Arabidopsis thaliana: one gene and its partner. The protein of the gene in region 1 interacts with the protein of each later gene in a pairwise test. Each region holds a gene or a part of one and is shown in the gene's direction. Other genes may lie near its edges.

Evidence for each region.
Region 2: the proteins of maMYB (region 1) and NAC069 interact in a two-hybrid assay, tested with the Arabidopsis thaliana proteins (one large-scale study listed by BioGRID).

What each region holds. Positions count from the first base shown.
Region 1 is NC_003076.8:18,403,479-18,408,636, reverse strand, and holds maMYB (Duplicated homeodomain-like superfamily protein), read left to right. Parts: upstream 1-1,961; 5' UTR 1,962-2,039; coding exon 2,040-2,969; 3' UTR 2,970-2,975; intron 2,976-3,618; exon of another isoform or gene 3,619-4,221; 3' UTR 4,222-4,622; downstream 4,623-5,158.
Region 2 is NC_003075.7:673,081-678,461, reverse strand, and holds NAC069 (NAC domain containing protein 69), read left to right. Parts: upstream 1-2,016; 5' UTR 2,017-2,236; coding exon 2,237-2,390; exon of another isoform or gene 2,391-2,470; coding exon 2,471-2,742; intron 2,743-3,248; coding exon 3,249-3,389; intron 3,390-3,463; coding exon 3,464-3,835; intron 3,836-3,915; coding exon 3,916-4,101; intron 4,102-4,188; coding exon 4,189-4,437; 3' UTR 4,438-4,600; downstream 4,601-5,381. Other genes in the region: MEE49 (Ribosomal RNA processing Brix domain protein), read left to right, coding at 1-66, 155-224, 304-386, 467-546, 628-726, 815-884, 960-1,049, 1,158-1,196. UniProt on the Arabidopsis thaliana protein: Transcription activator activated by proteolytic cleavage through regulated intramembrane proteolysis (RIP). Involved in salt stress response during seed germination and seedling growth.

The sequences.
Region 1 (5,158 bases):
ATAAGTATGGAGTATTTGACGTGTTTTTCCAAAACTTATCATCTAATATTCCTTTTCGAATTTTCCTATTCTTGATAGCACTTTTTTCCTTTTTTCTAAATTTGCATATTGCGTTCATACTCTAAAAAGGCTTAGAGAAAATTGATAAATCCAATATTTGCTTATTTAGATACTGAAAATAAATTCTACCTTTACCACACAGAAACCAAAATATGTCAGAAACCAAAATAACAATTCTTACACTGAGGAATATCATCTATTCAAAGTATCTTGTGAAAGCTACGATGCAAGTGTCAACAGATTTATTCAGAAACCCATACCTGAATCAGAAATTTGCATCACACCTTCCGTAAAGATCGCAGAAGGTCTGACCACTAGGTGCAGTTCACGAAAGAGCCGATAAGGAAATCTGAGTGCACAAGAAACCGCCAATCGAGTGCTTCTTGCAATGAAAAAACTCGATACTGGTAGCACCCTGAGCAGATGTAATCTTGTTCCATATCTCAAAAGAAGAAAATCCACTAAATACGAAGCTTAATCTAACCTGATAATGAGCACAAAAGCAGTATATAAAGACATTAGAAATGCAACGAAAACAGGCAATTCAAGGTATCGTACAAATAATGTTATCTAGAACATGTCTTACACAAAGGCATATTAACAATGAAATCCAAATCCAATACTGGCGAAGGTCAAAACCCTAAGAAACCAAACTGCAAAGAGGTACAGAAAGATCCCAATTCATAATCTCTGAGAAACTATCATCATATCTAAAATTCTAGTACCTAATTTCAACTCTGCTGAAGTTTTACCATAAAAACCAACCAACCATAGACTCAATTTATCTCAGATCTGAATGAACGAAGAAATTCACAAACCGAAACGATAACATAAAAAAAAAAAAAAACCCACAAAAAAGCGTAACCCTAAAATTCAATAAAAAAACCAATCCGTATACGTTCAAATCCAAAGTTCTCAGAAACGCGACTCCAATAATAAAAATATACTCAAAGCAAACAAACGAAGAGAGAATCAAAAGCGCATCAGTCAAAACACGAGAAACAAAATAAAAAAAGGCGATCTCGATTTTACCTCAGGAGCCAATAGGCATAAACTCCGTCTCCGACGACGGGAAGAGACTGTATCCAGAGCTTCTCCCTTATCACGACTCCACCGCTTTCTCTCTCTCTCTCTCTCTCTCTCTCTATCTTTCTCTCTCTTTGCCGCGTATTTGTGTGGTTCTCGTGATAATAACAAATTAAACCCTACTTTATAATATCTCAGCTAAAAAGGAATATATTATTAAGCTATTTATTATGGTAGTGTCTGTTGGTGCTAAGCTCGAATCTCCTGCATCTCAACCTACAGTAATTATCCACAGATAAACCGTCGATATTTCATAAATGCCGTCATCTCCAATCTGAACCGTAAGCTTTTATCCTTTATTTAACTTCTCTAGCCTTTGCCTAATATATTCTCCGCTTTCCATTCCAAGTTGTAACAGGTGATAAATGGTTTCCTTGACTTTTCGTACAAGTTTATATATTTTCGTAATAGTGAATTATTGTTTCCTTCCCTTTTTTCTGGCTCCTAAAATTTCCATTTTTCCGTCAACAATATTTTCATTTTATAATATAGTTGCAATATAAAACTAACCAATAAATCGACGTTAAAAAAAAAAAATGTCGTACACAAACGTGTGATTTCTCTGCAATTGCTTCGTTGTTGAACAGAAAGGCTCAAGAGCATGATTAGTGGCACAATCTTCTCTGAGTCCTACTATCTCTATCTGCGATCTCGAGTGTACACGCTTTCCACTAAAATTTAATTAATTAAGGGTTTGCTTACTCTAAAATTAACTAATTAAAATTCGTATAACCAATTTTGTCATATGCTAAATTTTAATATATATGGGCTTTACAATACCCAAAAATCTTCGTATATGGACTTTCAAAAGCCCAAAAACACTTATTTCTGAGATTTTTTTTTCTAAGTTTTATTTATTGTTTCAGCTTCTTCTACAGTGCAACAGAGCAACAATGGATTTTTTCGACGAAGACAGGCCTAGATTCGTTTTCCAATCTCGTCCTTCTTCTTCTCACACGGCGGAGGAAGAAGAAGAAGCTAGAATCCCTAACAAGCTTTTCATTTCAATCTCCGTCTCAATCTCCCTCATCATATTATCTCTCTCCTTCTTCTACTTCGAATCTGAACCTGCCAAATCGCTACTATTATGGCTTTCCCTCTCTTTCCTCGTCGGTCCTTTCGCTCCTAGCTCGCTCACCGGAGGTAAGATTCGCGTCGGTTATGGTCAGATCTTGGAGCCAGAACAGATTCACGATGAGTCATCCACGGATAACGAACGTGAATCCAGGAGGAAATCGGTGAATAAGCGATCTAAAGGTTCGACGAAGAGCGATAATCCGCCGGAAAATGCTTCTGCGGTGACTGAAGTTTCGAGGAAAGTGGTGATTCCGCAGTCTAAGGAGAGTGGATCTGTGAATGAAACTAAAGATTGGACTGCTGAAGAGATCGAGATTTTGAAGAAGCAGTTGATTAAGCATCCAGCTGGTAAACCTGGGAGATGGGAGACGGTGGCTTCAGCGTTCGGAGGAAGATACAAGACAGAGAATGTGATTAAGAAGGCGAAAGAGATAGGTGAGAAGAAAATCTATGAGAGTGATGATTACGCTCAGTTTTTAAAGAATAGGAAAGCTTCAGATCCTAGATTGGTTGATGAAAACGAAGAGAATTCTGGAGCTGGTGGAGATGCGGAAGGTACTAAGGAGATTTGGAGTAATGGAGAAGACATTGCATTGCTCAATGCTTTAAAAGCTTTTCCTAAGGAGGCAGCTATGAGATGGGAGAAGATTGCAGCTGCAGTACCTGGGAAGTCGAAAGCAGCTTGTATGAAGAGAGTTACTGAGCTTAAAAAAGGGTTTCGGAGCTCGAAAACTCCAGCTAATTAACTAGAGGTAATTGATAAACTAGAGTCTTTTGATTGAAAAAGATACTCTTTATTAAGGTAATAAACATGCCACAAGAGCCTTATTCCATTGTAGTTGCTACAACTTTGCTGTATAAGCTTCCTAGGCTTGTTGATATCTCCATTAGTGTGAGTTACACTGAAGATGTTGATTTTTAATCTGGAGAGATTGAGTTGATGAAATGCTGACAATGTATTCTTATGCTGATGTTTTATAGGTTACTTATGAATTAGGTCGCATAACATTATAGGTAAAAAAATTACTGTCTAGAATTGAGAAGGAGATCTTTTGAAAACAGTTAGAGTAAGCTTCTAAGTTGTAACTCTAGTTATCCTACTTATAGAGTCCTGGCTCATGTTCTTGATGTTGGGGTGGCTTGCTTTTTGATCCATGAATGGTTCTATGATTAATCGTTGGTAAAAGTGTGCTGAGCCACTGTGTTTTCCATGTTTCTCAAGTTTAGAATGGAATGAAATGGTTGAACAGAATAATGCCAAAGCCCAAAGGCATACTTTAATTGGTTTGTTAAGCTTAGTACGGAGCATTATAAATTTAATATGGAAAGATTATGTTGATGAAATGCTGATAACATATTCTTTAGCTGATGTTTTATAAGTTACTTATGAATTAGGTTGCTAGTTGCTGAGAGGTCTCGTTTGAGAACAGCTAGGGGAAAGACTCTTGAGGCATATTTTCCATGTTTCTTATATGTCATGTCAAACCCCATCGGTTTTCATGAATGCTTTATGCTAGTTTCCTGCAGCTTCTTTGCTGTCTTTTATATTTGCTAGTTGCTGGTCAAATTTGGTAATGCAATGCTTTGAACAGAATAATGAAAAAGGCATGTTTGGCTAGGAGAAAGATGGCGTCAACTTGACATAGAACTGGTTTAGGTTTATAATACTGGTAATGGTGTCTATCCCTAGTAGAGTTTAATTGGTATAAATTTCCCCCTGTTGCTGAATGATCGGTTCACAAACTACTATAAAATCTTGGAGTCCTCTGTCATGTTAGATTCGATCTTAGGGAAAGTAATATGTCTGCATTTCATGATTTTCTATCTTATTTTGGTAGTCCTTTGAGATGTGCAAAAGAAACCAAATGTATGCTCAAGTATGTGATCAAATAGAGCTATACTCACAAGTTGACATTTACAGAATCGAGTCAAAATAGTCTAAAACTGCTCTAATTTATGTTTACACAATCTTTTACTGACATAAACCTTTTGACGCAGGACATCTGTACGGGATTAAGGCAAATACCAGGAGAGGAAAAACAATTTTGTGTTTGCTGCTTGAGATTATTGCTACAACGCCCAAAGTAGTGAATAGAGTTCTGCAGGAAGTTTCTTTTAGAGAGAAGAAAAGAAAGCATCTCAATATGCCAAAGAATTTAACATAAAGTTATGAGTTCTTCTTTACTTCAAGCTTTGATTCGAATTACAAGACTTGAGCATCTGTGTATCCCCTCCCCAAAGAGCACCTATTTTATTACTAGGGAAATATATAAAAAGACTATATATATTCTTAATCCAAAATTCCAAACTAGAATTTTCATATAATATTCTTAACATTTTTATCACTACAAGTCTTCAACAACAACCGCAAAAGCTACCCCACTAAATCTCAACCGTTGGATCAGATAATTAGTGACGATAAACGGCATGCGATCCATTATTATCCAACACCAAATAGTCTTCGTGGTTCAGTTTCTCCACCGAACACAACCACGTGCTACATTACAGAGTCAACTAAACCGGAAATCACCGGTTTTATAAAAAAGAGTTTCACGGGTTTACCGACTAAACCGGTAACTCTCAATAGAAACTCAAAGCACGTCTGTGTTCACCACACGTTTTATCAAAAGTCTAAGCTACTCTGCAATTCATTTGCCGGCGAAAATTCTCAGGTGATTGATTCTCTCTTTGTTTTTTTCTGATTTATCATATCGATTCTTCATAAAACTGGCATGTATTCGAAAAAGATCTCTTCTCTAGGTTTCACATGATTCAATTTTTTCATTCTATAACAAAATAGATCTTGCGATGCAGATTTTCTGCTGAGTTTTTCATACGAAATTGTTGCGGGATCTCTATTTTCCATTCGAGTTTAGGGTTTCATGGCGGAATTTGATTCATAGTACGTTTAAGTTTAGGGTAATTTTTTTTTTTT
Region 2 (5,381 bases), on another chromosome or scaffold:
TCTGAGTTGCTTTCGGTGATACCAAACTCTCATTATCAAAAGAGAGGAACCTATGATTTGAAGAAGGTGTTGTTATAAGTTTCATAGCTTCCTTGTTTCTCTATAAAGTTAGTCTTTTTGCAACTATATAACCTTGTTAGATATGGTTCTGCAGATTGTAGAATACGCAACGAAGAAAGATTTTACATCTCTTATTGTTGTTCATACAAATCGTAGAGAACCTGGTTAGTTTTCACTGAGTTTCAAGTTTTGTGCTCTCTACTGTATATGCTTTGTTTCAAGCTTTTGCTATTTCATATGTAGATGCGCTTCTTATCATCGGTTTGCCAAATGGTCCTACTGCTCATTTCAAATTGTCAAATCTTGTTCTAAGGAAGGATATTAAGGTATGTAAGCTAACCATTACTCTTCTCTACATCGAGTGTAGATTAGTGATCACTGAATTGGATGTTAAATGTAACTGCAGAATCACGGAAATCCTACAAGCCATCAACCAGAACTGGTTTTGAATAACTTTACAACGCGTTTAGGGAATCGTGTTGGGAGGTATAGTTTTCATAGTGTTGTTGACTTGGTTTTATGGTCTCTTTGAATTTCTTGCTGATGTTAGATTTTTCCTTTTTTCAGATTTTTTCAATCACTCTTCCCTCCGGATCCTAATTTCCGTGGTAGGAGAGTTGTAACATTCCACAACCAGCGTGACTTTATATTTTTCAGACATCACCGGTACATAACTTCACCTTTTCTTCTTCGAGTTGCTTTTGCTCCATTCTCCAATAAAACTTTTTATTGAACAAATTTCAACACTATCCAGTTACATATTTGAGACAAAGGAAAGCAAGAGTGATAAAGGAAAAGAAGAGACAATAAAACCTCGTCTTCAGGTCAGTTTTGACCATGTTGAATCAAAAAGTAATCAACATTATCAATGTTTGTATCATTAAACTTTGGATTTTTAGGAATGCGGTCCTCGATTCACGCTTAAGCTAGTTACTCTACAGCATGGAACTTTTGACACCAAAGGTGGAGAATTTGAATGGGTTCATAAGGTAAAATCACCAGAAATGGACACGAGCAGCTTCATTGCTGTTCTTTAGAGTTTTTGATGATTTTTAATTTTATTTTCTGATGTGTTTTTTTTTTGTATTTCATTACAGCCTGAAATGGACACGAGCAGGAGAAGGTTCTTCTTATAAATTCTGCTGTCTTCCGAGTTTCACCAAGTTTTGTGTTTATTTTGCATTTTCGAATTTTCCCTACCTCCGTCCAAAATTGTATGTCTTTAAAACTTCTCATTTCTTTTTTCAATATAGCCATGAGCCATCGAAACAATCGTAAGAGTACTTGTTTCAACAATATAGGCCCTCGTTTTTTACTAAGCTATATATAGTTGGTTAAACTTATGATTGTTTGGTTTGGTATATATCGACATCGAGCATTTGAATCTACAGCAGTAATATTGGATTTTGTTTAGTAGTTAAGTGGACCTTTATGTTGCATAATTAATAGTTTTACGATCATCAGTTCATCACCATAATAATAGGATTAGATTTGAGGATGTGAATGGTTACGGTGGTTGAGACGGATAAATCCGTTTGCGAATTAGACCGTTTTTGATTTACCATTTATAAATTAGAGTATGTAAGATTATAGATTAAGAAAAATAAAAGAAAATCGTCGCGGATCAATTATAGACCGTTTTTACCGCCGTAAGCATTCAAATCCTGAACATCTCTAATGATAATGTAATAGGATTGACAAAAACAAATCTAAAAATTAATTACGATTATTTAGGTGTAGTATAGAACGTAATTACGTATATGTATGTTACTATGTTGTCAATTATGTCGGCTATAATATTCCAGAAAGATCCTTCGGAAAGGAAAAAAAAAAACTGAAACTTCGGTTCGAAGTTCAAACAATTTTTCTTACTGCCACGTGTTACTTCATACACAATTAAAATATTTTTTTGTCCCTCTCATTTGTCAACGTTTAGGGGAAAAACATTAATATACTTTTACTGCATTCCGCCACAAATATCTTTCTTTCTTTTTTTATGGTTCTTCTTCACCCCAACTGTATTAGTACTGTTCGTCTTTCAGAAAAAACAATAATAGATAGAGGAAAAAAGAAAGAAACAGAGAAGTGAGAAAAAGCCCTTAAAACTCAAACACTAAAAAATTTTCAGTGTCGATTCAAAAAGTTTTGTTATTTGATCTGTTTCTGTGTAAAAAAAATGGTGAAAGATCTGGTTGGGTATAGATTTTATCCAACGGGAGAGGAATTGATAAACCATTATCTAAAGAACAAAATTTTGGGTAAGACTTGGCTCGTCGACGAAGCCATTAGCGAGATCAACATCTGTAGTTACGACCCAATTTACTTGCCTTGTAAGTTTCCTCACTTCAAAATCATCATCGTTGTCTCATCATCGGTCATTTCTAATTCTGGATTTGTTTGGTTGTTGTAGCTTTATCGAAGATAAAATCGGATGATCCTGTGTGGTACTTCTTCTGTCCAAAGGAGTATACTTCTGCGAAGAAGAAGGTAACGAAGAGGACTACAAGTTCAGGGTATTGGAAAGCTACTGGTGTTGATAGGAAAATCAAAGATAAGAGAGGTAATCGCGGCGAGATTGGGATAAAGAAGACGCTTGTGTATTATGAAGGTAGAGTTCCTAAAGGTGTTTGGACTCCTTGGGTTATGCATGAGTATCACATCACTTGTTTGCCTCAAGATCAGGTATAATAAACTCAGAGTTTCTTGAATTTGAGCTTCTGTGTTAGTTTGACTTAGCGTTATGTTTCTGTTAGTTGATCTTCTTGAATTGGATTTGGGTTTGATTCATCTGTCCCTGTGTTGGTTGCTATCTTTATCCCAATTTGAGGTTAAAGTCATGTTCTTGTAAGAATAGATTTGGGTTTGACTTATCTTTTCCCTATGATGCTTAGTACATCAAGTTTAGGTTCTGTGTATCAGAGTTTGAAGTGTTATATATAGAAGTTGTGGCCTAGAAGGCTAGTGTATTTGCTTCCCTGTGTTGAATATATTACTGTAATCTCCCCTGTGTTGGTTGCTATCATTAGTACGTTCTGTGTTGTCACAGAGTTTTAAGCGCTATGTATAGAAGTTGTAACCTAGTGTTCTTACTTCTGCCAAAGCTTGTGATTGTTTGAGTTATGTGTGTTTGATTTTTTGTTTTGTTGGCAAAGAACTTATGTGTGTGTGTACTTTTGGAATTTGTTCAGAGGAACTATGTTATCTGCCAAGTGATGTATAAGGGTGAAGATGGAGACGTCCCATCTGGTGGTAACAACTCGAGTGAGCCGAGTCAATCTTTGGTCTCTGATTCGAATACTGTCAGAGCTACGAGTCCCACAGCGCTTGAGGTGACTCCAGTTTCTTTATTTGATAATCTCATGTACTTGATTCGTTTACTCAAAACTCTCTTTTACATTTTCAGTTTGAGAAGCCAGGTCAAGAAAATTTCTTTGGTATGTCTGTGGATGATTTGGGGACTCCAAAGAATGAACAAGAAGATTTCTCTTTGTGGGATGTACTGGATCCAGACATGTTATTCAGTGACAATAACAATCCTACTGTGCATCCACAAGCTCCTCACTTAACCCCGAATGATGATGAGTTTCTCGGTGGATTGAGGCATGTTAACCGAGAGCAGGTTGAATATTTGTTTGCCAATGAAGATTTCATATCCAGACCAACCTTATCTATGACCGAGAACCGCAACGATCACAGGCCAAAGAAGGCTTTGTCAGGGATTATTGTTGATTATAGCAGTGATAGTAATAGTGATGCTGAATCGATATCTGCAACGGTAAAGCAAATCACCCGTTTTCTTTATCGTTACTTCTGTGCTGTAATCTCCATTCTCACATTTTGATTATATTATGTCAGAGTTACCAAGGAACATCAAGTCCAGGTGATGATAGTGTTGGTAGTTCGAATAGACAATTTCTCCAGACTGGTGGAGATGAGATTCTATCGTCTTGCAATGATCTACAAACCTATGGAGAACCTTCCATCAGTAGTAGCACCCGGCAATCTCAACTCACACGAAGCATCATACGACCAAAACAAGAGGTTTTGCGTTGCTCTTATGTTGATTCTATATGATTTCAACATATGTTGGATATATAAAGATAATGATTATGTAACTTTCCTTCACAGGTGAAACAAGATACATCAAGAGCGGTTGATAGTGATACATCCATAGACAAGGAGTCATCTATGGTGAAGACAGAGAAGAAGAGCTGGTTTATTACAGAGGAAGCAATGGAGAGAAACCGCAACAATCCACGGTATATCTATCTCATGAGAATGATCATAGGCTTCATTCTCTTGCTGGCTCTCATTAGCAACATCATATCGGTGTTACAAAACTTGAACCCGGCGATGAAGTTTGATCGCGAGAGATAGACAAAAGCTAGCAGATTGATCAAAGCACTCGTTTTTACTTTGCTTTTATTTATTTCTATTTTCTTCCGAAATTTTGATGTATATATGTGTGTGTATGTATGACCAAGAGGTATGTCTTGTACCTAAAGTTAAATAAAATTTAGGGTTTGAAAATTTTATAACATTTAGAGCGGGTCCATAGTTCAGTGCCGTGGTGGAGCATTAGACTGCTGATAAAGAAAACATTCGACAGAGACCAGTGAATGGTTTGAAAGGTTTCTCAAAGATTTGGTTTGTTGATAATTAAGAGAATGATTACATACCGGACAAGGGACTGGTCTAATGTGATTGATACTTCGATGATCAATCAATCAAATATTACTTCGATGATCAATCAATCAATCAATCATATTACTTACAACTATGTAATATGATTCTATGAACCTTTTTCTTGTTTTTTGTAAACTTTAATCCCTTATCTTGCAAGCCAAATCCATAGACATATATTTTACAAAATTAGTAGTAGTACTATATTGAAGTAGAGAAAGTAATAACGCCATGTCGTCGTCGTCGATGGTGGCGGCTATAATTTCCGAAAGATCCTTCGACTCAAAATACACAAAAAAAACAAGGAAAAGAGAAAGGTTCATACTTTCGTTCGAAGCTCCGACAATGAACCGTCAATAATTTGCCACGTCTTCATTCTCATTCACAATAAAAATAAATTTTGTTCCTCTCATTTGTCAACCTTTTTTGTTTTTGTTTAAAGAATTTGTCAACCTATTGGAAAACATTTTGCATTCAATTAAAATCTTATCGCTAACAGTTTTTTGTTTTTTGTTTTTTTTTCAACTATCTTATTTATTAACAGTAGTAAATTTGTTATAAAATACATAATATTACATTTCTTCCAATACATAATTGATATCTAAATATCCGATCGTTGTAAATTTGGAGTTTCATTC